Linked DNA regions of Rhinolophus ferrumequinum. The protein of the gene in region 2 interacts with the protein of the main gene of each other region in a biochemical or structural test. Links are inferred from orthologs where the notes say so. Each region holds a gene or a part of one and is shown on either strand. Other genes may lie near its edges. The genes, in order: LCP2, tyrosine-protein kinase ZAP-70, LAT and ERBB3.

Region 1 (7,471 bases), on a different chromosome or scaffold from region 2:
CATGCAGCGTCTGGTTCATGCTTTCCTCATGCATGTCCCAGGAAGGGGGAGGTGTCCAGTCTGGGCTGGGAGGAGGGTCTGAGCAGTGGTCAGGACAGAGCGCAGTGTGGCTTGCAAGCGCCCCTCCCCCACTGCCCACCCCGTGGCCTCCACCAGTACTGGTGAGAACGGCTCCTGCACATCTGGGGATGCTCTTTGGCAGGCCTGTCCCTCCTGGCACACCCATTCGGAGGCAGGGTCACTAAATTCTGTGCCTCAGTGTATGGCTGCCAGGTGTGTGAAGCTGCCCTGCCCAAGGGAACAGTTAGGACCCCATCCTGGCTCTCCTCGCTTGACCCTTCTGTGTGGTTGAGCCATTTGCCATCCAAAAGGAGTCCACACAGAAGGGGCTTCCACTGCCAGCCTTAGAGAACTGAGGGGAAAATATTCCCTCCCTGTGAAGGTGACCGCTACAGTTCTCGTTCCTTCTGCAAGCAAACCCACACAGGCCCTAGAGAAAGTACCAACAGCAGTTCACCTCAGCCTCAGGTGATACATCGAGCCATTAAAAGTTGGTGGAGGTGAGGCTGGGATGAACCCGTATGAGGGATGGCACCCTCTCTGGGCCACTTTCTACCACCTCTTCTCCTTCCCCCAGCCAACACCCTCCTTCTAAATTAAATACAAACTAGCGCATCATCCCACCCATCCGCTAACTCCTTAGGTACCTCTCCTAAGAAGGCCAACACATTCTCCGCTCCAAAATCCCTACTTTCCATTCTCTCCTGGTCCCTAAGCAACAATTCCTTCCTCCGCCCTCACGCACAGAGGCTGAGACTCCCAAGTCCCCGTTAATGACCTGCTTATTTTTTCTCACCCCTAAATTTAGCTGTGAAAAAGGCAGTTATCTCCCCCCCTACTCTGCTGTGGGTTAGCTGGAAAGGGAGGGAGCTTCAAGTCTGGATGGGGTGGGGTGGGGCAGGGAGGATATCGGGGTGACCTCCCTCTAGGTTGCAGTGTGCTGCTCCTACATCCACTTTTGGTCCCTAAGATTGAAAAATCTGACGTATCACTCCCTGCAAGTGTTCCTTTCTTGTCCACAGGCTCTGTTGGATACACGTTTCAGATTCCTATCCCGTGACCCCATTCCTGGTACTCCCATGAGGCAGTCCTTACTGTGTTCAGAGACTAGTTGACCCCTTCCTAACCTTGAGGTAAAGATTACAAAGCCTAAGAAGGCCTCTGTTAACCTTTCAATTTGCTCCTTCATGAGGGAGTGCTGGGAGAGGGTCCTACCCGAGCCATGGCTTCACATCTCTGCCTCTTACCTGTTTCCCACTCTGCTTCATGCTCGAAGCCAAGACCAATGCTCGCTAGGGGGTCGGTGGGAAGTTGGCCTGACCGTCATTGCGGCAGCCTCCCCCCGGCTGTGGGCTGTACCCAGAGGCTGCTATTGTCACTGCCCGTGTTATAGAGCCTGAGACTGAGCCAAGGAGCTGGCCTGCACAGGGTTACCTGGTCCTCCTGGCGTCCTGACCCTCTCTTCCCCAGGGCTAACTGGCCCTGCAACAGGAGCTTCTAGAACCCTCCAGACAGGCAGAGACAGGCAATGTGAAACTTGTGAGCGTTGGGAAATCACCGAGGACTGGGGAAGAGGAAAGGCTCCAGGTCTCAGGCAACCAGCTTCCCCTTGCGTCAACTGCTCTCGCCTGCACAGCTGCCCTTTTCTGAGGAACAGGCCTGTGATCCTGTGGGGCGGGGTCACCAAAGCCCTGCCTCCTGGAAAGGGCTGCATCGTCTTCTTAACTTGTCCAGACTGCCAGCCTCACTGGCTCTTCGCGGAAGGCAGACGGATAGAGTGGAAATTGCACAGGCTCTGGAGACACAGCTGGGTTTGAATGCCTACTCCAGCTTGGGCGATTTATGTAACATCTCAGAGCCTGAGGTGACAGAGAGGTAAAGGACAGGGGCTCTGAACTCAGAGAGAGTCCAGGCGAGACCCAACTGCACAACCCACATGCCGGGTGCAAGGGGGCACGTTGCTTCACCTCTCTGAGCCTCAGTTTTTCCTTCTGTAAAGTAGGAGTCACAATGGCGCCAACAGTGAAATGAGATAATTAGTGAACAGTTCTCAGTCCCTCCCTGGAGCACACGCAGGGCTCCATGTGTTGCATCTGCCATGATTCTGATCATGTCGTCATCGCTGTCACCAGGTTTCTTAACTGCTGTGTCTTTCTTCTAAATGGGCTCCGTGTGTACTGGATAATTCTTCCCTCAAAGCCTCATATTTAGCGATTCCTTAATTCTAACGCCTGCTTTTCTGTAGGCAATGGGAATGAATGTCATTAAAAATTTTGTTTCTACTTTTCAGGATGATCTTGAATGTTCCTTTCCACAGGTGTGGTGTGTTCTGTTTGCTAATGAAGTACACTCCAACATATTACACACACACACGCGCACGTGCATGCGTGTGTCCAGAATGCCCTCCATCTTCCCCTTGCTTAAATTACAGCTAATTCCATGACATCTTCTTTGATCATTCTACTTGGAAGTGATTTATCTGTCTCCCTTTTTTTCAAATGGTGTTTTATTGTTCGCTGCTCTTCTAGTGACTGGAAAGTGAAGTGACCTCTCCCAGCAGTGGCGGGCTTTTGAAGAGTAGGCCCATGCCATGTGGAGCATGGCCAGTTATGAGAGAGCGTGCTTAGGTCCAGGCCCTGTGAGGAGTTCTCAGCCTGGGCTGCCTCCACTGACCCCCCTAGTGCCCTGGGGGGGAGCATGACACCAGCTAAGTTTATGGACCACCTCCGTAAAGGAGCCCAGCCTGGGATGAAATGCCAATCTCACTGACACTCGCAACGACAGGCTGATGCATACAATGGCAGACATGGTACATGGCCAAAGCTACCCTCGAAAAAGCTCAGGAAGGCACCACCTCAGGACCAATGCAGCATCACTCAATAAATGCAACAGAGCTGGGTTCTTTCCTCAAGCATCAGAGCCATGGCCGTCTATGTGTACGTGCCTGGAGTACGAGATGAAACAGTGAACTTGTCTTCAGAGGCGGCAATGGTGCCTACGAGGTCTGACAATTAAGTTCACGAACTTGTTGCTAACCTTTTTGATATCGGAGGGATTATTCATTATAAATGTGTACCAACTGGACAAACAGTTAACCAAGTTTACTAGTTGGAAGTGCTGAAAAGGCTGCGTGAAAAAGTTAGATGAAAATGAGCTGAACTTTTTGCCAACAATTCATGGCTCTTGCATCACGACAATGCACCAGCTCACACAGCACTGTCTGTGAGGGAGTTTTGAGCCAGTAAACAAATAACTATTGGAACACCCTCCCTACTCACCTGAACTGGCCCCCAATGACTTCTTTTTCTACCCAAAGGTAAAGGAAATATTGAAAGGAAGACATTTTGATGACATTCAGAACATCAAGGATAATACCACAACAGCTCTGATGGCCATTCCAGAAAAAGAGTTCCAAAATTGCTTTGAAAGGTGGACTAGGCGCTGGCATCGTTGCATAGCTTCCCAAGGGGAGTACTTTGAAGGTGACTGTAATGATGTTCAGTAATGAGGTACGTAGCACTTTTTCTAGGACGAGTTCACAAACATAATTGTCAGACCTCATAAATACATCTGCTTTTAGCCACTGTAGTCAACCTCTGCTAACAAGGCATTTAGACTATGAGGAGTACACGGAGTCTGAAACCGACTGAGGAAACAGCAGGTGCCCATCTCCTGTCTCAGGGCCACGCCAGGAAATGTGCTCTGGATAGAATGTATGGTGGAAACAACAGTGAACAGAATATATGGCAGCATCAATAGCAATTATTGTTTTTTTCTTTTAATTCTTTTTCTTTAAGTTTGTCTAGTTAAATGCATCTACGTTTTATGTACATTTGAAGTAATCCTTCTGTTTTCCTCTTTAACAGATCTGGAAATTCCCCTTGACTCAGTGAGAGTCCTAGATCATACGTCCTTGCCTAAGCTGGCACACGGCAGAGACTTCATATCAGAAATTACACCCAGTTCTGCCCGGCACAGCCCCTCTCTCAGCCCTGGGTGCCCACCCAGCTCACTCATGAAGAATCCTCTCCTAGGACCTCTAAGGAGGTAGCTGAAGGAACCTCAACTTTATCCCTTTGAGAGAGACTGAGGGGTGGTTAGCAAGCATGAAAAGGCCATGTTCCTCCCCCAGCAGTGCACTGATGTGGGAAATTGTCTATATTTTAGGTCAACTGTCAAAATAGGTTTTCATCAGCAAAGGCGCAGCCAAGCAGGAATGTGGTGTGGACACATGGGTGCCAAGAGTTCTAATGGAAGCCTACTTGGACTCACGGGAGAGTCTACGTCCCCTTCGTCACCCCTCCCACCCGGCTGGGGTGGCTGGGACCAGCAGGGTATCACCAACCCTGTCGCTCTCTCTGTCTCTCCAGTCCCCAGAGCTGAGCTTCCTTGTTTACTTATTTAGAGCCCAGCAGAGGAAGTGGTAAAGGAAACTTGCTGAGTCGTTTTCTGAGAAGAGACCATATTTGTTCGCGGAGGAAGACGTTGCTTTCTGGGATCTGGTTACAGCAGAAAAGACGTTTGCTCCAACGAGGCTGTTCCAAAGAGTAACTGGGAATTGGAAGAGCCAAGGACACCTCCACACCCTCGATTTGAAGTTCTCTGTCCATGGGTGCAGCGCCCACACTCAGCTTTTGAGCTTCCTCCTGGGAGAGCAGCCATGGCGTTGCGGAATGTGCCCTTCCGCTCAGAGGTCCTGGCCTGGGATGCCGAGAGCCTCGCCGACTATTTCAGGAAGGTGAGCCTTGCTCTTTGTTGGTGGCGGGACTGGCAATGTCCTCGGTGGGCTGGACAGAGGCTTGAAGATGGAGTCCAGGCCGCACAGGAGAGGCGGAAAAGATAGCAATGGAACTTCCAACCTCGCAGCAACCTCCCCAGTTGTGCGAGTGCCATGTAGATACACCTACACCCCTGAGCGTTCGTGGTAGTGAGAGCTGCGGAGAAGGGAGGCCCTCGAATGAATGTGCAGCTAGTATGTGCCAGGGCTTGAGTGTGTGCTCTCGAGGCTCTGTCCCATTTAATACTCTCCAGTGTTGTTGTTCCTTTGACTCAGCTGCAAAATCAGCTCAGTGAGGTTAAATGGCCCAAAGCCCCAGGGACTACATGTGACTGAGGCAGGATTCCAGTCACGCCTGTCTGGTTTCAAAGTCTATGCTCTGAGCTGCAGAATTGCTAGAACTACTCGTGAGATCAAGGCTACTTACTAGAAAGGGAGAAATGGAGTCCAGGAGGCAGGAGAAAGAAAAGGCAGGGTAGGAGGGATGAAGAAGGCTCTGATGAGCAATGCGGGAGGTGGCAGCTGGGCAGTCAGTGCTCATGACCCTGAAAGCGGGGTCTCAAGCCCTTATATGGGACAGAGGCTCGTTGAAGCTTTATGAGAGTCTTGTGAAGCAGGTCAGAAAACCGATAGGAGCCCAGGTTATAGCCAGGGGAACTGAGCTCCCTACAGAGGAAGAGGCTTAGCCAGGCAGGGTCAGAGGCTAAGCTTGTGGCAGAGCTGAGGCCAGAATGTTGCCGTCCTGCCTTCCGGATGTGGAGATGCTCAAGGATCCCTGTGCTCGGTCATCTGCTGCTGGGACCACAGTTTATATATCTGTTTGGGCAGATCCCAAGCTACATGACTCAGTAAGGGACCCTGTGTCCCTGTCCAAGGGATACAGAGTCTGTGAGGGACACTTGATTCTCTCACACCCCCATCCCTGAAGGCTGGCAGTAAATTCAGTTGACACTCCAGACTGTCATAAAGAGGAGACGTTAAAGTCAAGGCTTAGAGATCTAACTCAACTTTCTGTTTTTTTCTGGGGGTGGAATACTCTCCTTAGGACACCGAGCCAAACCTGGGGTCTATAGGGTACCAAGAAATTGACTATCACAACTATTCTTCCCCAAGCTAAAGAAGAAAAGTATGAAAATGTTGAATGACATGATAGAGGGACAGCCGACAGAGCCTGTTATTGGCTGCTTTGTGTGCATCTCATTTCTGTTCTTATTCCCTCTCAAAGGTCATAATAAACTTTTGACATGGTGGGTGTTAAGATTGAACAACTGACTTTTGAAGGATGTCTCTACATACTTATCTTAAATGTAGATCAAATAAACTAAGGCACAAGGTGAAATTTGCCAAAATGCTGTCAAGGGGCACGTTAACTCAATAAAGAAAGAAGAGAAGAATTAGGGAGGGAAACCCGGGGACAGACTGAGAGGCACAGACAGTCCCCATCTCCAATGTGAGAAGGAGAATGGCACAACCCAGTCCAACAAGCGAATCCCTGGGTAACGAATGTCCCCCTTGGCACAGGGAGATGAACTATGGGTTAGGGATGATTCAGGGAGCATGGCCTCTGCCTGAGAGAGAGCTTTCTTCTTGGAAATCCCAGACTCTGGGACAAATTTGTAGCACCAGGACAGGTTACTGCTCTCAGCATAAAAGAACAGGGGAGAGGAAGAAGGAAACGGAGGTGCATCTGTGATCTGGGAAGTCCCAGCCTCCAGGACTCAGAGAGACACCCTCCAAATCCTGAGCACCTGAGTCCTCAGAGAGAACGTACCGATTGAACCAGCACGAACGGATCACTTGGGGATGGACCCTAGCCACCCGATGCCCTAGTTACAGGATTGATTGTCAAGTCCAGTTTCTAAGGAAGCAGTGGGGTCAGGCCTTCCTTGGAGACACCTCCCCAGCCAGCTCTGGAGTCAGACACATCTTAGTTTCACTCCTGGCTCTGCCACCTGCTAGTGTGGTGACCTTCCTTTAGTTACTCGACATCTCTGTGCCTCAGCTTCCTCATCGGTTAAATAGTGATAGTAACTAACCTCGTGGGATTGTTGGGGGAATTAAAGGAAATAGTGGGTGTGAGGCATTCAGCAGAGAGAGGGGGGCAATTCATGTTCAATCTTCCCTTTGTCCTGCTCTGTTCACTGGACCCTCGCTGGGGTGCCCAGGCAGACTGGCAGGTCTTTGTGTCTTACTATCTCAGATACGTTAGCTCATCTTGTGTCTGGAATGTGAGCCCCTGAGGACTGAAGTCATGTTTTATATTCCTTTAAGCCCTCCTATCCCCTTTGGCTTAGCAGGACAGCTTTCCTAGGCTATGCAGTGGAGAAGGCACTGGCTCAGAGCCATGGCTTCTACCCCCAGCTGTGTCCCCAACTCACTGTGTGACTTGGGGCCAGTCCCTTCCCCTCTCTGGGCCCCAGTTGGCTCTTCTACAACCCGAGGTACCTGCTCTAGACCAGTGCCAACCAAAGCTGGGTGCTCATAAGAATCATCAAAGTATTTGCTAAAAATATAGACGCTACCCCCCAGGCCGTGAATCACAACGAACTTCCAGGCAAGTTCCAGTCTGCCAGGCTATCTGTCTATTTAGAGTTGAAGTTGGCACGCTGCAAAATCAGAGATACGTCTGATAAA
Region 2 (7,452 bases):
TGGTTCGCTCAGCAGTACAGTTATTGAGTGCCGGCTGTGTGCCTGGCACTGCTGGGCTGGGTGCTGAGGACCCTGGAGAAGAGGTGGTGCAGCCTTCCTCACAGCAGCTTGCTGGCATCCTCCCGGGCATGCAGTGTGGTGCATCTGGCAGGCCTGGGTGTGCAGCAGCCACGCCAGACACCGGGTTCTTCCTTGCGCTCCCGACAAGTGGTACCCCACCCTCATCCCAACCTCTTGGGACTCCAGACCCGAGAGGCAGCACACCTCCTGTTGGCTTCCTGTCTCTCCCTCAGGTTGCCATTGGAGGAACAAGTGGGGTCAGCCACTTTCAGCCTCTGCCAGAGGTCCCCCCCTTTACCTGAGGGCCCCCAGGCAGCCTGCCCTGAACTGTCTTCCATCTCCCTCTTTATCAAAGAGGTGGCTCCCTTTGCCTTCTCAGTGTGCTGTCCGCTAAGGGCTTCTGCCGTCAGCTCAGTGGTTGCCCCAGCAGCCTGTCCCTGGCTTGGGGAGGAATGGCCACTCAGCAGCATGGGGACTGCAGGGTCCAGCCCTGTGGAGGCTCTGGGCTTCCTCTGAACCAGGAGATCACAGGCTCTGTCACTTACCGGCTGTGAAACCTCTTGGCCTTAGTTTCTATATCTGGAAAATGGGGCTAGCCTACTTCATGGGGCTGTGATGATTACTCTGTGAAACTCTGGCTCTGTGCCTGCCTGGCACCCTTTCCCCCCTCCTTCCAGCCATAGCTTCTGACTTCCCTGGGGTTCTTCTCCCCTGTCTCAGTGTGGTGTGCTAAGGCATGTGACCTGGTCCTAAGCCACTCACGGCCTAGCCACTGGTTTCAGGGACGGGCTGGGGGATGGGCATGTGATCCCTTCAGCCAATGAGCTGTTTGGGGCTTTTTCTGGGAGCACTGAGAGAGGTTCTTGCTCCCCAAGTGCATTTGAAGCTGAATCACTGTCTTGGACCACAGGGAGAAAAACTGTCTGAGAATGAAACCAACAGGTGGAGGAGGCAGCAACTTTTGGGTCAGCATTTAAACCCTGAGCAAGCATTTTCAACGCCCTTATCTGGGCCTTTCCTCCACTCAGACCACAGTTATCGAACACTATTTTGTGCCGAGTGCCACTCCGCTGCTGGGGATGCAGCCAGGAGTGAGACACTCCCCACCTCTCAGAGGTCACGAACCTGCCCCAGGGCCTTTGCACTTGCTGTTCGCTCTGCCTGGAATGCTCTTCCTCTGATGTCTCTCTCCATTGCTTCCGCCTGCACCTTCTTCAGGTCTTAACTCTCAGGCTATCCCCTCATGAGGCCTGCACTGACCCCTCTGTTCCAAATCACATGCCCACACACTTGTTCTCCCGTTTCCTGATTTATTTTAGTCCTCAGCAGTTGAAACCACCTGAAATATTCTATGGAGCACTTATTTATTTTGTTACTTCTCTTTCACCCTCACCAGAATGTCAGCTCCACAGGGGAAGGGATTTTCATATGAATTGTTGACAGCAGATCCCTAGTGCCTAGAACAGAGTCTGCACAGAGCAGGGGCTCGGGGTTGAATCAATAGGGAGCCCCAAAAGGACTGAAGAGGTGACACTGTCACCATGGTTTGAATGTTTAAGGAGCCAGATATTTGATGACCCCAGGGGAGAGCACACATGTGCTGTTGTGTCCAGTTGATTCTCTGTGACTTAAACCAGGTTGGATTAATTTTTCTGCGGGGGGTTGGTGCAGTGGGGTGGGGATGGGTTTCACTTTCAACCTCTAGGCTCCTGCATTGCACTTGGAAGCATGCAGTACTTGAGAGCAGCCCCTGGAGGGCGCAAGGGAGTCCCATTGCTGCCCTTGGACTTGCAATCACTAGCACATTGTAAACAGCGGGACAACCTAAAGATGATAACGACGACGACGACAGCAGTAATAGTGCACGTGCTTCAAGGTCTGTTTTTAATTTTCACAATAGCCCTATGAGATAGGTATCATTTCCTAAATGAGGAAACGCAGGCACAGAGAGGTCACGGAACTTACTGAGATCCCTGGGCTGTAAGTGGCAGAACCAGAAAAGAGCAACAAGAGAAAGATCACCGTTGTCTGACCATCCAGAGGAAAGGCACGTGAGCTGCATGGCTGAAGATCCCCAGGTGGGAAGGAATTGAGAAGGGGCCCGGGGGGGGGGGGGCTACCCTCCCTTGGGGGATCATTGCTCTGAGCTGTGAGCTCTCTCCCTGCAGCCCCCCTCCCTGCGGCAGGTTTCCCTGGCCTGGGGTCCTTTGAATTCTGGCATCAAATCTGGCCTGTGCACGGGTCGGGTGGAACAGACATAGAGCCCACCCTGCCCAGTTTGAGGCTTGGAAGGCTTCTGGGGGAAGCCACGTGGAACCAGAGACGTGGAGGAGGAGGAGTCAGACAGAAGAGGTGGGGGGACAGAGTTCAGGCCGGGAGACTAGTGTGGGGTGTGAGAGTGAGCGATCAGTTTGTCCTGAGGCTCTTTGCATATCTGGAATGAATATTTACCCCAACCCACCCCGACAAATGCACCACAACTTTCCCAGCCCACATTTCCATCCTGTTTGCTCTTTCCTCTGAACATTCAGGAGACACATCCATCTATCATCACTTGGGCAGAACTCGCAGCCTTATCTGCAGGCCAATCTCAGAATGACTGTCTGGGGCCATGTAGTTTCAGGAGGAGGCCTATGGGACCGGAAGGGGGCTCAAGGGCGGCTGAGCCAGTGCCTCTCAGAGTCTGGGAGTCCCCTTCCCAGGCCAGAAGACCCCAGATGGAAGCCCCCACATGCAGCCTGCTTACCTTCCAGGTCTCTGGGAGGCCAGCTCGCAGGGAGCTATCCTCCTCCTGTGTCCAGAGGTGGGCTGTGGGGCCAGACCCCAGCCCCAATCCCGCCTGGCCACTTGGCATCTGTTAATTAACCTCTCTGGGCTTCACTTACATTATGTGGAAAACAGAGTAAATTGTGAACTGCTTACAGGGTTGTCTGTCACATAGTAGGTGCTGGCTAAGTGCTCCTGTTATTACCTCTGCGGAGTAGGGGTACTGATGCTGTGACTTGTCCTCTCCTCGCCTGTGGCAGTCTTCTCTCACTACCCCAGGAAAGGGGAGTCCAGTATGGAAACAAAGAGATTTTTTTCTACATCCTGAGTTTCATGATGGCTGTGGGGAAAGGAAAGGCTTCTAACCAAAAGCAGTTTTAGGGGAAAATCTATGTAGGAGAAAAGTGTCCCAGCCTGGAGCCCAGAAGAAGGATTTCCTGAGTGGGGAGAGGGAGGTTCAGGGAACTGGGGGATAGCAGAAATGGGGAGAGGGTCCCCAGGAGAGGAGACCTGGGTGCATCATGGAGGAAATGCAGTCAGGTTGGGGAGCTGAGCCCACCTCCCCCAGGGCAGCAGGACCCAGAGAAGGAAGGTTCTTGGGATCTCAACAGTGGACCTAGGACAGCCCCACACAGATGCCTGAGGGCACACAGGTCCAAGAGACAAGGAAGTGGGGACGAGAGAGCCTCCAGGGACCTTGGGGCAGAGGAGGGAGAGATGGGGTGAAGTGGGCGCCGTGCCACAGGTACTTTGCGGGCCACTGAAGGAGCAGATGAGGGTGCTCCACCACCTCCGAGGGTGGGTGTGTGCCATCACAGGATGGGCCAGTGTGGGAAGGGAGGGCGAGAGGATGAGGAAGTGGTTGTGGCGGAGCGGAGGTGGTGACCAGCCAGGTGCAGTGGGAGGGGAAGGTCCAGGTGGGGCCGGACTGGCGGGCACTGGGGACGCCCTGCCTCCGTGCCTTGATATGGCCGATCCTTCTCAGAATCCTTCCCTGACACCCCCAGGCTGCGTGGGGCTCCTTTGGGGACACACAGTGCCCAGGTTTCTGCCATCACGCTCTGTCTCCCTGGTGACTCAGCTGCCTCCTCCTCTAGCCTGAAACCATTTGAGGGCAGGGACAGGGCTGTCATCACTGTCCTGATGCCTGGCACACAGAAGGTGCTTGGAAACTTTGAGGTGTGCACTGACTTTGTAGGTTTCTCCTCTGTTAGCTTTAACCTGCCCATGGAATAAATAATGAATCACTCATAGGGGCAGTTCTGTCAGGGGCTGGCCTGTGTCCATGTCCCCTTGGGAAGGGAAAGTGGGGGGATTCCAGTTTCCGCCCCCTCCCACTTCCGCTGTCCCACTCCCCAAAATTCCAGCACAGACAGCTCCCCTCCTGAGGTTTGGGGGTACCATTGGAATCATCATTCTTGCATATCCCCTGCTTGCAGCTAGCCTTGATTCCTCCCCCCACCCCGCTGGGGCAGGCACTGCTTGGCCCCGGAAATGCCCTCTGCCCTCTCCGGAGCACGTGGCCTGTGATTTTCCTTGAACACAGCACTTTATGACTTATACGTAAACTTCAAACGCAGCCCCCTTTCCTGTCTTCGCATCAAGGAAATAGGCTGAGAAACCCGCTGCTGAGAGCACATCAGGCCTTCCGGCCCAGGTCCCTGCCCGGCTGGGGCCTTCGTGCTGTCGCTGCTGCATCCAGGTGAGTGGCCATCCTTTGTTTTTTGCCTCTGTCCTGCCAGCACAGCCACCCCAGGGGACTCTGGGGCAGCTGGCAGAAGGTGAATAAAACTCCCCCCAGTGAGAAACTGGCAGGGCGGGACCTCCTTACACCTTGCCTGAGGGGTTGGTTAGCCAGCGGGGGCCTCAGGCTGGGGGCTTGGCCTACAGAGAAACCCAAGTTGTTTTCTTGGGCCCTCATTCTTCATCTAGAAGCAGCTGTGAGTCTGCGTTGGGGACCAGAGACCTTGTGGGTGGCCCGTTTGACTGGACATCCATCCCCAGGTAAGTCATCACGGATGGAACAGCTGGCTGCTGTCTCCAGGGGTGGCCTGGGTCTGGTGGAGGAGGATAGAGTCCGGAGCGCTGTTGGACTGGGACAGGGGGTGTCTAGCTGGAGAAGGAAGCAGACGCGGCCACACTGAGGGAAGCAGCACCCCCCACCCCCAACCCTTTCAGAGGCTCAGCTGAGTAGAAGTGTCCTGGGGACACAGAGGTGCCTGTTCAGTTCCTGGCCTCCCGCTGGGCCCCGCCAGGGCAGCATTCTTGGTTCCAGGAAGCAGGGAAACCTCCAGAGAAAGTAAACCTGTGCTCTGGCCGGAGGCCATGAATGTGAGGGTGGCTCAACAGGGCTGTGAATCTGAACAACAAAATGCCGATGAGTACCGTGAGGAGTCCGGGGCAGGCTTGAGCCACTTGTACGGCAGCTCAGGTTAAACGGGTCCCAGAGGGGTGAAGGAGCAAAGAGCTTGAATCCCGCTCAATCGCTGTGTGTCGTTGGCAAGTTGCGTGGCCTTTCTGAGCCTCAGTTTATATATCTGGTACATGCAGATAAAAATACTGGCACCTAGTAGGTGCTTGACTCCTGACTGCTGGGTGAGAGGTTTGGAAAGGTGCCCCAGGAAGGAAACGGTCTTGGCAGAAAGGATCAGGGCTTCGTGTGGTGAACAACTCAAGATGATCATTGTTACTGTTCTTTCAGCCAAGGCAGCAAGCACACAGTAGGTGTTGAATAAAGCTTGGCTGAGAGATTAGGCTCTGGGACTCCTGGGGTGCCAAGTCCTTGGGTGCCATGTGCCCAGGCTCTTCTGCCACCCCAGAGCTGCTTCTTCCTCCTCTCGCCTGTCCTCCAGCCTCATGCATGCAGCCCGGCAGGGACACTGGGCAGTGTTGAAGTGTACACTCTGGAGCAGGAGACCTAGATTAGCCTCCTGGCTCTGCCACCGACTGTGTGTGCTGTGTGACCTTGGGCACACAGAAGTGAAGCACACTCCACCTTTGCATGCTTCAGTCCCAAATCCACAAATCCTTCACTCACAGGGCTCTTGCAAGGATTAGGTGAGTGAATACATCTAAGTGCCTGGCACACAGTAGGTGCTATATAAGTATATTGCTATAGTTGACCCTTGAACAATGTGGGGGTTAGGGTTTTTGACCCCCGTACAGTTGGAAATCCATGTATAACTTTTGACGCCACCGTCGTCTGTCTGTATCCATGGGGGCTGGTTCCAGGACCCCTGCGGAGGCTCAAGTTCGATACATAAAATGTCCTAGAACAATGGCTACAGTCACTCCTACGCATCTGTGGATTCCCAACCGCGGATCAAAAATACTGTTTTCGACCTGTGGGTTGGTTGACTCTGTGGATGCGAAACCTGGGAGACGGAGGGCCGACTGCATAGTTACTGAAAAATATCTGCGTGTACGTGGACCAGGGCAGTTCAAATGCTTGTAGTTCCAGCATAACTGTAGTTCTGATGATCATTCCTCACTCCGGGTGGTCTCAGGCTCTGGACTTCATATCCTAGACTGTCCTGGGGGCTGCAGCAGCCAGACTGCTCCATGCTGACCACTCCCGGTCCCTCCCCAAGCATAGGGTTAAGACACAGCCAATTTTACCTTCCCTCTGTCCCTTGGGGAGTGTTACTGGCACCTACATAGTAGCTATAGGCCAGGAATGCTGCTAAGCACCCTGCAATGCATAGGACCATGTTGTCCCCACATCTCCACCAGGCTCCGTCCTCCAGACTCATCCCCTAAACCTTTTTCCATCTCCCTTTTACAGTCACAGAGCCTGATGTGCAGAGAGGGAGAGCTCCTCGTCGTGGTCACACAGCCCTTAAAACCCAGGCAGCAGACGTCGGGGTGGGGTGGGGAAGCTGGTGTCGTGGCATCATCCAGTCACTCAGCATACACTTAGAGAGTCTGCTGGATGTGGGGACCTGCCCCTGGCCCCCAGACAGCCTGGGCCCTGACAGTTGAAGGCAGCTCAGGGGACAGTGACACCTGGGTCAGTGCGGGGTCTGTGGGTGGGGGAGCCTCTGGGCACACAGCTTGGAACCAGGGATTCCACTGTCCTCGTGGACTGGAGTGGTTGATGCCGGCTTCTGGGTGAGAGGCCTGGGTTCAAATCCCAACTGCCATTGCAGGCTGCATGATTCTGGACACAGCATTGACCCCTGTAAGCCTCAGTTTCTTTAGCTGAGGAGGAATGGGGCTAGCAGTGAATGGAGGTGAGATGAGGATTGGATTAAATGGATAACGCTCGTAAGAGGTACCACCCAGTCCCTGGCACAGAGGCTGTTGTTGTTGCCCGGGTGATAGGTATTTATCAGAGGCAGCAGGGGCTACAGGAGAAAACAAGACAGCTGGAGGCTCTGTCTTGGGGCGGTCGGCCTGGTCAGAGGCAGACGAGCAGACTGACAGGGGTCCTATGCAGCCATCAGGGCTGTGATTTGGGAGGACAGGCCCTGGGAGAGCAGAGGCGGTGCCTGACTCAGCCTGGGCAGGAACACTTCCAGGAGAGGGGACAACTGAGGGGACCTGCAGCATCTGGCCAAGGGAAGGGTGTGGGCGCCGTTCTGGGAACAGAAAGCAGCCTGTGCAAAGGCTGCTGGCGTTGGTCCT
Region 3 (7,518 bases), on a different chromosome or scaffold from region 2:
GCTTCTGGTGTCTTTGGTAGACAAATAACACCCCCATCTAAGATCATGACTCACGGCTGGGGTGTCTTGGGTGGGGTGGGCAAGATAGAAATTAAGATTTATTTTGTCCTCCCTGGGCACAAGGTAATGAACAGACCTTTTATCATCCAGTCCTCACAATAGTTATGTGAAGTTGTTATTATCCGCCTTTTGCAGATGAGGAAACTGAGGCTCAGAGAGGTTAAGTTCCTTTCCCAAACTCACAGCTAGTAAGTAGTGGAGCCAGGATTCAAGCTCAGGTCTGTCTGATTCTAAAACCCTGGCCTCTCCCGCCATCCCTGCCGCCTGTCCAGAGCTGGCTGGTGAGGCGGGCTGGGAGGCTGGCTGCAGGGCGGGTACCACGTCCCCCTGTCTCCTTCCCCAGCGATTCTGGCTGCTCCTCCTGACCCGGGGCCTGGTGGGGGTCGGGGAGGCCAGTTACTCCACCATCGCACCCACCCTCATCGCCGACCTCTTCGTGGCAGACCAGCGGAGTCGCATGCTGAGCGTGTTCTACTTCGCCATCCCTGTGGGCAGGTGCGTGGGCCTCGGGCCTGCCCGGTGGGCAGTCAGAAGAGCTTGGCACTGGGCAGGACTGACCGGCTGTCCCCTCTCTTTTCCCACCCCTCCCCGCCAGTGGTCTGGGTTATATCGCAGGCTCCAAAGTGAAGGACATGGCTGGAGATTGGCACTGGGCTCTGAGGGTGAGTCTGTTCTCCACCTGGGGGTAGGTACCTCTCGGCACCTCTTTTCAAAACAGTGTTTCCTCTGCCAAGCCTGTGGAAAGCCTCGCTTCCCTTCCCACAAAACCATGTGCCAGACAGAGCTCTTGGCTGCAGGTGACAGAAACGCATTGTGAAAGTGTAAGCCCCCACGTAGGACAGGGCTGGCTGTCATAATGGAAAGTCCCAGGGTGAGCTTCAGGTACAGCTTGATCCAGGACTCCCACCGTCACAGGAACTGGGTAATCCTTGTCTTAGCTCCCCTTTCCTCTGTGTTCACTTCATTCTCGAGTGAGAGAAAGCTCCACACGTTTATCTCCTCAGTTAGAGACTTAAGGCACCCTGGGTCCTTGCGTAGGAGTCCTGGATAGTATCCGGTTAGATGAGCATGGGTCACGTGTCTGCCACTGAATTGGTCACTGAGGCTGGACAAGTCTGGGTTCCGAGCCCCGTTTGAACCACATGGATTGAGAGAAGCGGGGGGAGTGGTTTCCCAGAAGAAAATCAGGGTGCTGTTACCAAAGAGGGAGCAGTTAAGCATGCAGAAGTGGGGGTGGCCCTAGTGGCCATTGCTCCTCCCCCCAGGTGCAGGCCAGCTTCCTTGAGCCAGCATTAGCCCAGGTGTGTGAGGTCTTGGGGCCTGAGGTGCCTTTACACACCCTCCCTTTCTCCCAGCCCCACAGGTGAGGGTGTCCGCCCGTGCTCGGCCTGAAGCCCACTCTTTCCCCAGGTGACACCAGGTCTGGGAGTGGTGGCTGTACTGCTGCTATTCCTGGTGGTACGGGAGCCGCCGAGGGGAGCTGTGGAGCGCCACTCAGACTCCCCACCCCTGCACCCAACCTCGTGGTGGGCAGACCTGAGAGCTCTGGCCAGAAAGTGAGTTTAATTCCATCGCAGCCCAAGCTGGCCCTCCCTGGGGCCAGGAATGCAGTCACTACTGCCCCCTGTGGCAGCTGCAGGAACTACAGGCCCAGACCTTGGGACCCAGGGCGGCCTCCACCCCCAGTGCCCTGACCTGACTAAAATACACCAGGAGGGGAGAACGGAGTCCCCTCCTCTGACACCTCGGTGGACTCTGACATCCTCCCTTTCAACGATCTGTGCAGCCCCAGTTTCATCCTGTCTTCCCTTGGCTTCACGGCTGTGGCCTTTGTCACGGGCTCCCTGGCTCTTTGGGCTCCTGCATTCTTGCTGCGTTCCCGTGTGGTCTTGGGGGAGACCCCACCCTGCCTTCCTGGAGACTCCTGCTCGTCCTCTGACAGGTACCCAGCTGGGGACTGGGCTGGGTGGCCTGCAGGTGGCAGGAGATGGAGGGGACAGAGGACAATCCAGGCTCAGACAGGGAGAGTCTGAATCCCAGCTCCACTCGCTACTTCCTCTCAGCGTCCTGGTTGGGAAACAGCTGGCGGGAGCTTGGTGACCTGTGGGCTGCGGTGCCTGGGTTGTGTGGGCGACCGGGGTGGACCATCCTCCTCTCCAGGCTGTTGGGGTGAGGCGGGGAGGCGTTGCAGGCAGATGGACTAGCCCGTGTGCCCCCGCCTCCCCCAGCCTCGTCTTTGGGCTCATCACCTGCCTGACGGGGGTCCTGGGTGTGTCCCTGGGGGTGGAGATCAGCCGTCGCCTCCGCCGCTGCAACCCCCGGGCTGACCCACTGGTCTGCGCGGCCGGCCTCCTGGGCTCTGCACCCTTCCTCTTCCTGTCTGTCGCCTGTGCCCGCGGCAGCATCGTAGCCACTTACGTGAGTAGCCAGCAGGTGTCCAGAGGGGTGTTGGGGGTTCAGGGTGGAGGAATGGGGCGCTGGGGCAGGACTGGGCTCAGCCAGCCCCGTGGTTCAGAACCAGCTTGGAGCAGGAGGGCCTGGTTCTGAATCAGCTCTTGCCCTTCCCAGCTGTGTGGCGTGGGCCGAGTGACTTAACATCTCTGTGCTCAGGTTCATGATGTGTAAATGGGAAGAATAGCTCTGTCTCATGGGGGTATTGTGAGGATTAAACGGGTTAGTAGATGGGCCTCCACGTGTTTGCTCTTCTTGTGATGAGATCATCCCCGCTCCCCCACACCACCCTCTGGTCCCCCAGATTTTCATCTTTATTGGGGAGACACTGCTGTCCATGAACTGGGCCATCGTGGCTGATATTCTACTGGTGAGTAGGTGGGCCGGTCCAGCATTGGGCCCGATGCTGGTGGGTGCAGGGAGTGGAGGCCTCACTTGCCTTGAATTGTGGCCTTTGTCCGTTCCGCGAGCCCCCGCCCCACACTGGCTTCTGAGTCCAGCCTCAGGTGGGCCTGTAGTCCCGGCCTGCCCTGCCCTCCCCCATCACACCTGTGACCTCAGCCTCGGCGGAGCCTTGACCCCTTCCTTGCCTGCTGTCTCCTGCCCTCCTCCCAGTACGTGGTCATCCCTACGAGGCGCTCCACGGCCGAGGCTTTCCAGATCGTGCTGTCCCACCTGCTGGGGGACGCTGGGAGCCCCTACCTCATTGGCCTGGTGAGCACTGCTCCTTCACTGGGCCTGGTGGGGGTTGGGGCACCCTGCCTTCCTGGCACCGGCCGGTGGTCAGTGGCCTGAGCCTGGGCTGAACCGGAAGGTTTGGCCCCAGTGAGGGATCCGGGTCTTCCATGCCAGGCAGCCGTCACCTTGGGTCCTCCGCTAGACGGGAAGGATTTTGTCTTTGCAGGTTTCCACAGGGCGGCCGGGGTCCTCTCCCCGGAGGTTCCAGGTCCCCCTTTCATTCTCTGGAGTTTGAGCCTCCCTCTTCCCGCTGCCCTCCCCGTGACCCTGCTGGCTTTCCTCCTCGTCTCCCCACAGATGTCCGACCGCCTCCGCCGGAGCTGGCCCCCTTCCTTCTTGTCCGAGTTCCGGGCCCTGCAGTTCTCCCTCATGCTCTGCGCCTTCGTGGGGGCCCTGGGCGGAGCCGCCTTCCTGGGCACTGCCATCTTCATTGAGGGCGACCGCCGGCAGGCCCAGCTGCACGTGCAGGGTCAGTCGGGCCCCCCTCCCCTTGCCCTAGGTCACAGTTCTGCCTGCTTGTTTGGTCATCCGCCAGCCCATCTGTGGCCTAGCCCACGTCCCTGGCACCTCACACCCCAGCTCTCCCCTCATCCAGCTTCGGGTCTGCCTGGCCCACAGGCTGACGTCCCGCCGTGCCCACAGCTCCGGGGCCCCAGGCGTTTCCCACTGTCTGTCCCACAGTGGCTTTGTGTCTGTCTGTCCAGCCAACCCTGGCTCTGACCCCTCCCCCACCAGGTCTGTTGCGCGAGGCAGGCCCGGAAGATGACCGCATTGTGGTGCCCCAGCGAGGCCGTTCCACCCGGGTCCCCGTGTCCAGCGTGCTCATCTGAAGGGCTGTCCCTCGCCTACCTGCACACCAAACACAGCAGGCCTCGGGCCCACCCCCGGAGGTGCCCGGGCCCAAACCCCCGACTTGGCCCCGCTTCCAGGAGGGGCACTGGGCCGTGTTCCCGCTCCCATACACTACATGGATGGCCAAGGGGGGGGCGTTGTGAGTCCAGGAGGGGACACCTCTCCCCTGGAGCAGCCCCAGGGGCTCGGTGCTATTTGTAACTGAATAAAATTTGTAGCCAGTCCCCAACTGCCTGCTTGAGTCTCTGTGGGTGCTGGTGACCTCCTATCTCAGGACTGTATGGGATGCCCCCTCTCCAGCCCTGGGGGGCTGTTGGGTCAGTTGTGTGGGGCTTCTGGGCTGGTGAACCGGAGGGTGGCGTGAGCTGGCTCCGTGTGACTATGAGTCACGCCCCTGCTTCCCGAGAGCCCGCCCCTTGGCCGGCTGGCTCGGGCGATGGGGTGGGCACTGCCCCGTGCCCCTCCGAATTCCCGGTGCCAGCCTCCCTCCGTGCTGCGTCCGTGGCTGGCCTGCAGCTGTCTCATTCTCTCCCACTGGTACGTCCTGGAGGCCAGCAGCCCCTTTTTGAGGACCTGGGGGTGGCTCCTCAGGTCTCCTCCCCCCAGTCCCCACTGGCTGGGTGGGGGTGGGAAGGGGGTGGGTGCAGCCGGCTGAGGAGCCCGATGATTTCCTGCCCTCACCCGGTGCTCACCACAGCTTCCTGCCGCAGGCAGGCGGGCAGGCGCGGAGGAGAGGCAGGCGCGGAGCCGGGGGGCAGGTAGGCCTGGGCGCGGGGTCCACACCAGTGGCTGGTGCCCCAGACTCCAGCCTAGGCCCTGGCCTGACCACCCTGGGATCCAGGGTCTTCCAGAGCCAGCGCTGACCCCCACTCAGCCCAGTGAGGCAAGGGGATCCGGGGAGCCCTCGAGGAGGGTGCGGCTGCCCCCTCATCAGGCTCCTAGCCGGGTGTGCTGGGCCCGGCACCCCTGCTAGCTCAGCTCTGCCCCTGCTGGAGCTCTGCCCTGGAGGGCGTTCGGCCAGCAGCCAGGCCTGGTCCCAGCTCTCCTGCAGATGGAGGCGGCCGTCCTGCTCTCCTTGGTGCTGGGCCCCCTGCTGCTGCCTCTCTTGGCTGTGCTGCTGATGGCACTCTGTGTGCGTTGCCGAGAACTGCCAGGTGAGTGGGCGCTGGCAGGGGGACCAGAGGCTCGGAGGGACCCACAGGGGTCCTCGCCCCCCTGCCCGATCCCTCACGCCATCGTGAAGTGTCCCGAACTCTGTCCTGCACATGGACATGGAGAGCCCCAGACTCCATCATCCCGTCCCCAGTCACCCCCTCTTCCTGCCTCACTGGCCCTCTCTTCCGCAGACTCATATGACAGTGTACCGTCGGATAGGTGAGTCTGCCCTTGGCCCCTAACACCCACTGCCAGGCTGGGCCTGGGCCTGGGGCCTCTCCCGGCCCCTTACCGAGCTCTGTCTTTCCTGCCAGTTTGACCCCAAGTAGCATCATGATCAAACGGCCTCGTGAGTACATGGAGGGTCCCTTCCTTCTGGGGTAGGGAAGAGAGTGCCCTGGCGTGTGAGTGCCCTGACATGTGAGCAAGTGTGTGCCTGACCTAAGCTGGGGTGGGGAGGGAGATGGGTGCCCCCAGACCTGGCCGGGGTACAGAAATTTCAGGGTGTTAGTGTGCCCTTCGGGGCCTCGACGGCGGGAGGGGCATGATGTCCAGAGTCATTCCTTCAGCTTGATCCTGTGTCCTCAGCCACGCTCGCCCCCTGGCCACCAGCCACTTCTTACCCACCTGTTACGTCCTATCCACCCCTGAGCCAGCCAGACCTACTCCCCATCCCGTAAGTGGCCCCTTCTCCTTCAACCCCCTCTCTCTACCGCTCAGCTCCTTGGGTTGGGACCCCTTCTCTTTTGCAAACCCCGTTGCCCCAGAGCCCCAACCTAGGCATGACCTCTTACTTTTGACTCCCAGGAGATCCCCACAGCCCCCAGGGGGTTCCCACCGCATGCCATCTTCCCGGCAGGACTCAGATGGCGGTACGTGTGGAGCGGGGCCCAGGGCCTGGGGCTGGGCACACGAGAGGCCCTGCCTCAGCTGACTCAGTCTCCCTCTCGCTCCCTCTCTCTGCAGCCAACAGTGTGGCAAGCTATGAAAACGAGGGTGCGTCAGGGACCCTCGGTGCCCTGGCTGGGGGCGGGGGGCCTGCCCCAGGCTCTGCTGACCTCTGTGTCATTACCACAGAGCCCGTCTGTGAGGATGACGATGAAGACGAGGACGAGGAAGATTATCACAACGAGGGCTACTTGTGAGTGGTCAGGAGGGGGGAGGGGGCCGAGCCCCGGTCTTTGCTCACTCGCCCCTTGACTTCCCCTCAGGGAGGTGCTTCCTGATACGGCCCCGGCCACTGGCACCGCTGTCCCAGCAGCTCCGGTGCCCAGCAACCCCGGCCTCCGAGACAGCGCCTTCTCCAGTGAGTCCCACTGTGACCGCCCCCCACCTCTCGGTGCCAGCCCCTCCACGCTCTCCTCTCCGGTTGTTTCTTTGGAGCTTGGACCCCTCTGCGTTCTCTCTTCTCTCTATACAATTGCCATCCTTCAGAGAGAGCACTTCCTGCTCCAATCTTCTGATTTTCCTACCTGTTCTCTCCTCTTTCCTATCGCTCTGGCTTTTTTTGTTTTCCTTTTATTGTCTGCGAGATTTCCTTGACTTTATTCTTCTTTCAGGGCTATTCCTTGACTCTCTTTTTTTATTTTGTGTCGCGGCTCTGAAAACTCTTTGTCGATCCCCAAATGTTCCTTTTTCATAGCTTCCTGTTCTTGTTTCATGGGGGTGGGGGGGCAAAGTCATCTTGTAAATCTCGAAGGGAATTGATTATAGGCTGTCTTTGTTGTTTTTGTTGTTTTGGAACTTTTCTGCTTCCTGCATTGTCTGTTTCCTTTGAGCTGTTTTTCTTCCTTCGTTTTGGTCTCATCCTGCCTGTGAAAAGCTTTCTTCAGTGTCTGTTACTCTCCTCTCTCTATATACGTGCCCCTCACTTCTACACCCTGGCTTCATTTGCCATCCAGATTCTCAACTTGTCGCCTCTTTTCCTGAGCTCCAGACCCTTTGTCCAAGTATTTCCGTTCATTCATTCACTCATTCATTCGTGGTGTTTACTGGGTACCTCTCATAGAAGAGCCAAGGAGGCAGAGTCATGATAAAAGAACTGATATTATTGAGAGCCTAATCCATGCCCTACTAAGAGTTTTACGTGTATTAGCATATTAAACCTCAATTCCCAGGAGCTGTTGAGCCTGGGCCTTCCCCTCCTGTACCTTGGTTGTCCCCTCTGGATGGCGGTAGGGTTTATTTATTTAACAGAGGCTTGGTAGCACTTACTGCTTAATACTTAACACTTCATATTCACTGCTTTAGTCCTCACACCAC
Region 4 (7,014 bases), on a different chromosome or scaffold from region 2:
TAGGATATTGTATATACATATATGTGAGATGAATCAATAACTTATTTCATGCATCTTCATTATCCAGTTTTAGAATCAAGATAACTACTATTAATTGGGTAGTATTGTTGTTATACTCAGAACATTTTTTAATGTTCTTATTAGTTCTAATTGTGTATGTGTTGTTTTTTGTTTGTTTTTTTGCATTAATCACTCTTGCAGGGGCAATATGTTATATGAAACTTACTTGGTGTATACCTTTTACTTTGCCTAAGTATTTACTTGACAAGTCCCTGAAAACTTCTCCCCTAAAAATACCTAAACACAAATACCTATTTTTACTATGTAGTACTAGTATTTTTTATTATTAAAATCTACTATCAACAAGTGATGCTTAAACAACTGAATATATACATGCTGGGGTGGGGCTGCGGGAGATTACGGGGACTAGGAAAATGATTACCAAAGGGCAAGAGAAAGTTTTCCTGGGTGATGGATATGTTCATTATCTTGATTGGATTATATACCTATGCCAAAACTCATCAAATTGTGACTTAAGATGTACAACTTATTATATATCAATTATATTTAAATTATACCTCAATAAACGTGCTGCAAGCGTGGGGAAGAAAGTCTTTAAAAATATCAAGATCACAAACCATAAGTAAAATTGACTAATCAGATTATACCAAAGGACTTTTGTTCAGTAAACAAGTTATTGACAGAGTTAATGAAGAAAGTTGAGAAGAGATATTTGCAATGTCTAAAAACAACAAAAGGAAGAACATTTGAGATTTTGCTCCCTGGCATATGTTGTCAGTTTGACTCAAATAAACTCATAAAAATTCTAAAATAAATAAATAAGTAAATAAGTAAATAAATAAATAAAATTAAACCAACAAAGGACTAATATCTGAAATACATAACAAACTGCTGCAAATCGATATAAAGCATGAAAATCCCTATAGGAAAATTGGCAAAGGAAAATGAATAGGCAATTCATAAAAGAGAAACAAAGGAAAAAATGTTAGAAGACACTCAAACATATTAGTAATTATAGAAATGCAATGTGATATTTATTTATTTATTTAAACATTCACCGTATTTTTTTTTAACTTTTATTTATTCAAGTGTGTTTTTCCAGGACCCATCAGCTCCAAGTCAAGTAGTTGTTTCAATCTAGTTGGGGAGGGCGCAGCTCATCCTGGCCCATGTGGGGATCGAACCGGCAACCCTGGTGTTACCAGCATCACGCTCTAACCAACTGAGCTAACCGGCAGCCCCTGCTATGTGCTATTTTAAATTCATGGCAAATTAAAAAAAAAATGGAAACCTGAATAATGTCAAGTATTGGTGAGGAAGTTGGGATACAGAAATCCCACTACTTATGGTGTAATATTCCAGAGTGTGGTTTATTATGCATAAGAACCAAAGGAGACACATACAAGGGTATTTATTTCTATTGCAACATCGCTGTGGTAGCCAGAAACAAGAGGCAATCGTTGGAGTGATGAACAAATAAAGCATAGGAATTCACATGACAGAATACCTTGCAGCAGTTAGGAACAAAGGCCATGGGGTCAAAGAAAGTTTATTTGTTTTGTTGTATGTTTTTTTAAAAGACGGCAGGTGTTACAGTACATTTGTATGTTAATGGGAATGATCTAGTAGAAAGGAAATTTGATACTATAGGAGAAAGGGGATAATATAGGAGAAAGGCAGGAAGGAATGATCTGAGATGTAGAACTGGAGGGTGAATTGGGGTAAGGGATGGGAATGGGGGAGTGACAGCTTTAATAGCAGCAAGGACAATTCATTATAACAAGATGGAAGTCAGAGTATATAAGTGAAGATGGAGGAAAATTGGCCAGATTGGTGGTAGAAAGATAAGGATGTTTTCTTTTGATTACTTTTATTTTCACAGTAAAATAAGAACCAAAGTCATCAGATAACAAATAAGAAAGATAAAGGAATTCTGGATAACTGTAGCTTTTCTAAAATACGGCCTCCTTTCCTTTATTTATTCAGTTAGGGTAGCACCCAATAGAGATGGCCCCTCACTTGTCAGCTTTATCCAGTGTTTATATCCCTATGTTTCTCTAATTATTGAAGAATGGATACCAGCAAACACACCTTGGGATCTAGCTGGGAAAGGGAGAGGTGGGGTTGGTGATAGCTGGAATAAATACAGCTAGTATTCATTGAATTCTTCTTTAAAGGTCCAGTGCAACACAATAATTAAGAGCTCTACCTGCCTTTTCTCATTAAATTCAAACAACAACCTTTATAAATAGACAAAACTGTTTTACAAACAAACTAAGGAGGGTTTCCTCCTTCAGAAACAGTGTCTTTGAACACTAAATTGAGATGGGTAATAAAACAAAAGGCGCCTTAAGATGGTATTTGTTCAGTTATCTGATGGGAATCTGATCAGAAGCAGATGAAGCTCCAGTATCAGTGTGACATAAGAAATCCTCAGCAAAAACCTGAGCCCCTCTTCCTAATCACCTGATCCACTGTCACCAAGTACATGACCTTGGAGAAGTTACACATTTTCCAGTTCCATAAAATGTAGACTGAGGTCCCTTAGCATACATTTTTATGTTAAGTAAAACATTCTGTAAGTTTGAGGAAACGCTTGCAAATTAAGTGGTATATGTGTGTATATGTTAAGGTTTCGCTGACGTTGATTACTACTGTATTATGATTGTTATGCAAGTGGTCAGGGCAAGGCCAACGCCCTCCGGCAAAGGTAAGCCTCCAGCAGAGAGTGGACCCTCTAGGGTGTATATCAATACCGAGCAAGTTTAAAGAACTGTAGCCGGTAGTCTAGGGTCGGAGTGAGAGGCAAAATTTTTCTTCATCAACTATTCTCGACGTCTTCAGGCTAAAAACTGTGAAGAAAATAATTAACTCTCTGGCTAAAATCCGGAATGCCAATTGTGGAGCCTCACTGCCACGGGTTCCGCACCAGGGGGCGCCCGGCGGATCCGTCCCGAGACTAGCCGGATTTGGGGCTGCCACTCGCAGAGCGCCCGACCGCCTCTGGCCAGGATCCGGGAGCTGGTGGTGGAGATGCCAGGGATCCAGGCCATTCGTGGACTTAGTCTCTAGTGCCCTCTCCATGTCCTCTTTCACCACCCCCTCCTCCTTCCCAGCTCCAGCCCGGGCTTGGAAGGCGCCAGGGAAGGTGTGAGCGCCTGTGGTGGGGATAGTGTGCCCATCTAGGTCCCCAGAAGAGCTTTAGGAATTCCCGCCGCCCCGACGGCGCGGTCAGACTCCTGTGGAAGAGGAGGCAGCTGTTCTCCCAGGCGGCCGTGGGGGGCAGCAGAGGGGATGGCGACAGGTGCGGGAGCCCCTCCCGGGGTGGAAGTGGAAAGGCGGGCTCCGGGTCTGTTCCCAGGCTGGAAACCACCCCCGCCCCTCAACCAAATCCCCCGGAGAGACCCGGCCGGCGCCGGGTCTGGAGGAGGAAGCGGCCGGAGACAGTACAATTTCACGCGGCCTTGGGGCTCGGGTTCCTCGGCAGGGTAGATGAGTTATGGGGTTTCGAGGGGTTTCCGGGGAAACTGAGGTGAACTGAGCGTGAGGCAAAAATATCCTCCCCCTCAAAAGCACAGAGAGAAACGTTCACATTCGGAGAGAAAAATCCCCCAAGTGACCCAACCGGCTAGGGTAGTTGAGTGATTTGGTTAATGGGCGAGGCCAACTTTCAGGGGGCCGGGCTTTGGCGCTCTCTCCCCACCCCCATTACCTTACCCCTTTGGAGTCATTTGGGGGCGTTTGGAATCTTGACCTCCCCTTAGTCCAGCTCCCAAAGAAAAATTCGGGTGAGACCCATCTTGGATCCGCTTGGCCCAGCTGCGGGGCACTGGGCGTGGGGCGTGCTGGCGGCGGGTGGAAGCTCCAGTAGTCCCCACGCCAGCCTCGCGCCCGCGGGGGCGCGGCCGTGACTCACCCCCTCCCTCTGCGCTCCCTCAGACACACACCCCTCCCCTGCCATCCCGCCCCGGACTCTGGCTCCAGCTCCGGTTGCAGTTTGCAACCTCGTCCGCCGCAGCTACCAGTTCGCGGGAGGCTCAGGTGGCTCCGCTTCGATGTCTTAGTCCAGGGGCCCCCGGGGCCGGATTCGGCTGGGCTCCGCTCACCCTCCGCTGGAGTCATGAGGGCGAACGGGGCTCTGCAGGTGCTGGGCTTCCTTCTCAGCCTGGCCCGGGGCTCCGAGGTGGGCAACTCACAGGCAGGTAAGCGGCGAGTGAACACAGGCAGGCTCGGAACCTGGGATTCCGAACTGAGTGCGCGGAATCCTGGGGCAGCCGCAGGAGATCGGGTGGCGCGAGCCTGGGGATGCTGACCCCGGATCTGCTGGGATCACCTGGGCAGGGACCGTCTGGCTCGGGTTCGAGGCGTGGGACCGGGGGAGATGGGATTCCTGGACCACCCCCTCCACCACCACCACCTCCTCCCTAGTGCATCGCCGACCCTCTAATTTGCCCTTTGCGATAGGACTGATGCCGAAAGAGTTCACACTTCTGGGGGGGCCCTGCAGGGAGGGGAGCTGGGACTTCCATTCTGTAAACGTAAGATGATTGGAGGTGGAGATCTTGGAGAAAGGGGGGGTGTCTCAGTTTGCTCCCCAGTCCCTTGCCCACCCTCACCCCCCTCCCATCCCCGGGTTTCAGCAACCTCCAGTTTTGTTGTTTTGCCGACAGGGTGGAGCTATGGAAGGGTTGGAGGGGGTTGTTGTTCTCTAGTGTTGGAAAAACAAGAGAGGCACCTCCTCTTCCGTGAGTGAGCCTGCCCTGGGGAGGGCTGAGATTAACCAGTGAGCCAAGTCCAGGTGATACCAGGGTGAGAGGCCATGCAGAGTATGATTGTCCTCTTTCCCTAAAAACCATAAAGCTGGCTGGTCCCAACATGACCAACCTTTCTTTGTCAAGATCCAGAGCAAATCAACTAAAATTTACTGAGCATCTACTATACGCAAAGGCCTGGACCTGGAGCTGAGCTGTAGTAGCCTCAAGGATTTCCCGCCTGTTTGTCTTTTCTCTCCCCAACGTGAGGGCTAACAGGGCTCCTCTCCCACCCTCTGAATTCCTGTCCTTCCTGGGGAGTTCTTCCTAGACCCAGCTTCTCTCCCACCACCATTCTGTTTATTGTCCGACTCTGTCTCTAGGAGTCTAGAGGAGTCAGATTGCTCTTCTATTCCTCCTCCCACTCCCATGCCATCTGAGTCCACCCCTTTGGGGTGTCTCTGGACACCTGAGGGGTGCTGATGTTGCTGGCATTGAAGGAATCCTGTTGATCTTCTCCCCTCCCCCTAGATCTCAGCTCTGGGGTTTGGCACAGCCAGGGCCCCTTCCCCAGAGTGGGAGTGGGAGAAACACCTGTGCTTCCCCCACAGTTGCTGGGCCTAAATTTAGACCCTGGGATCTTGAGATGTGAACACTCCCAGCTGGTGGAGTTGGGGGGGGGGGACAGGGAGGGCTGGGGACTAGAGTGGGAGGGACCTAGTAGTGGGACTCTATCATTGTCCCTTTCAGACCCCTGGAATCTTCTACCAGGAACCCTGGCTACCTTCCCTGAGGGAGCCAGGGGGCAGGCTTGGTTGGGTCTCTTTACCCTTTATCTGGATCATGCAGCCTCTGGGCATCCGGCCCTGTCTCAGTCCTTCTATAGCCCCTTTGTCCTGACTGTGATGGGGGTGGGGGACGTTGGAGTGGAGGCCTGTGCTTGTGGAGGGGCTGCAGATTCTTGCTGAGACCCACCCCAGTACCCTACCCTAGGAGGGCCTGTGACACAGCCCCTCCCTGTGCCCCTGCTCCCTGAGTACAACAGGGATTGTTATAATTCCCCTCCCCCCCGCCTTCTCCCAAGGTGCCTCTTCAGAGGTGTTCATACTCTCTTCCCGCTCAGGCCCTTTGCTCCCTGTGTATGTAGTATGGACTTTACCCTCTGGGTGGCAGGGAACTGGGACCTCTTAACAGTCGCCTTCCGAGCACGGACTCAAAGTCTGCACAATGGGCTGGTGGAATGGATGGGGCCACCTGAAATTCTTCCTAATAAAGAAACCCAGGAACAGAGCTAGTATAGATTTCTGGGCCAGCAGAGGAGCTATCTGTGTGTCTCACGAGTGTGTGCACGTCCACACACACAGCCCACTTCCCTGTGCAGAAATCTTGGCTCCTCCCTTATCTGGAGAGAAGGGTTGGCGCCTTGACTTGGAAGAGGGGGTGTCCTGCCAGGAAGGGGGTTGGGGTGGGGCTGTTCCAGAAAAGACTAACCTTCCTAGTCTCTTTCATTTCAGCCCAAGGACCCTGGAGTCCCTAGGTTTCCCCGGGAGTTGCCTGCCTACTTACCCTTCTTTGTCTGCCCCGTTCCCTTTGTGGGGAATGATAGGGAATGGGAGCCCTCAAAGTGGTCAGACCAGGGATGTATTTAGGAGGAGGGGTTGGGACCTCATCAGACTTCCTCCATTCCCACTCCTGCCTCCCACTAAGCTGCCACCGCCTCAGGGAAGGGTGGTTGGAACAGGTGGTATCTTCCCCACACCCTCCCCACAGTCTTTCTCTGAGCCAGAGGAAAGAGATAGGGATAGGGCTTCAGGGTCAAGATTTCCTGTAGCCCCTACATCGTTTGTACTTACTTACAAGGTGAAGCAAACCCCCAGACTGACATTCCTCATGGACCTCAATTCTAGGCTCTACCTAATGTGAGTGAGGATTGCCATGTTGGAAGGCTTTTTAACTACTCTTCAGACAGTGAAACTGAGTGGAAGGCTTAGAATGGGGGGAGTTTGCTGCTCTTTTGCTCCAGGCCTCTCTATATTTGCTGAAGAATACTCTAGGCTGGAAAGTGTGTTGGGATAGGGGAAGGGAGTGAGAAGGGAAGCCGGAGTAGGGTAGGCAACCAGCTCCTTATCTTCCAGTTTTAAAGACAAAGCTCACATTGACCCCACCACCACTACCAGAGCTCCCCCCCGCTAGTGAGGTCACTTGTCTGTGCCCAAGGCTTGAGGGTGGAGGGGGGTGCTGC

What was found.
Region 1: of the proteins of tyrosine-protein kinase ZAP-70 (region 2) and LCP2, one has a biochemical effect on the other in vitro, tested with the Homo sapiens proteins (2 studies listed by BioGRID). The link is inferred for Rhinolophus ferrumequinum from reciprocal best matches to the Homo sapiens genes ZAP70 and LCP2.
Region 3: of the proteins of tyrosine-protein kinase ZAP-70 (region 2) and LAT, one has a biochemical effect on the other in vitro, tested with the Homo sapiens proteins (2 studies listed by BioGRID). The link is inferred for Rhinolophus ferrumequinum from reciprocal best matches to the Homo sapiens genes ZAP70 and LAT.
Region 4: the proteins of tyrosine-protein kinase ZAP-70 (region 2) and ERBB3 form a complex in vitro, tested with the Homo sapiens proteins (2 studies listed by BioGRID and IntAct, with this or other methods). The link is inferred for Rhinolophus ferrumequinum from reciprocal best matches to the Homo sapiens genes ZAP70 and ERBB3.

The regions. Positions count from the first base shown.
Region 1 is NC_046307.1:36,963,479-36,970,949, reverse strand, and holds the start of LCP2 (lymphocyte cytosolic protein 2), read left to right. Parts: upstream 1-4,469; 5' UTR 4,470-4,720; coding exon 4,721-4,798; intron 4,799-7,471. UniProt on the Homo sapiens protein: Adapter protein primarily involved in signaling pathways within T-cells, as well as other immune cells such as platelets, mast cells, and natural killer (NK) cells.
Region 2 is NW_022680356.1:2,476,121-2,483,572, forward strand, and holds the start of tyrosine-protein kinase ZAP-70, read left to right. Parts: upstream 1-4,452; 5' UTR 4,453-4,528; intron 4,529-4,758; 5' UTR 4,759-4,830; intron 4,831-7,452. UniProt on the Homo sapiens protein: Tyrosine kinase that plays an essential role in regulation of the adaptive immune response. Regulates motility, adhesion and cytokine expression of mature T-cells, as well as thymocyte development.
Region 3 is NW_022680357.1:1,328,354-1,335,871, forward strand, and holds the start of LAT (linker for activation of T-cells family member 1), read left to right. Parts: upstream 1-4,512; 5' UTR 4,513-4,638; intron 4,639-4,811; 5' UTR 4,812-5,152; coding exon 5,153-5,255; intron 5,256-5,447; coding exon 5,448-5,475; intron 5,476-5,570; coding exon 5,571-5,605; intron 5,606-5,844; coding exon 5,845-5,932; intron 5,933-6,063; coding exon 6,064-6,128; intron 6,129-6,222; coding exon 6,223-6,397; intron 6,398-6,467; coding exon 6,468-6,562; intron 6,563-7,518. Other genes in the region: SPNS1 (protein spinster homolog 1), read left to right, coding at 404-555, 656-722, 1,471-1,616, 1,847-2,002, 2,289-2,478, 2,816-2,881, 3,127-3,225, 3,547-3,718 and 1 more. UniProt on the Homo sapiens protein: Required for TCR (T-cell antigen receptor)- and pre-TCR-mediated signaling, both in mature T-cells and during their development.
Region 4 is NC_046293.1:55,449,695-55,456,708, forward strand, and holds the start of ERBB3 (receptor tyrosine-protein kinase erbB-3), read left to right. Parts: upstream 1-4,000; 5' UTR 4,001-4,141; coding exon 4,142-4,223; intron 4,224-7,014. UniProt on the Homo sapiens protein: Tyrosine-protein kinase that plays an essential role as cell surface receptor for neuregulins.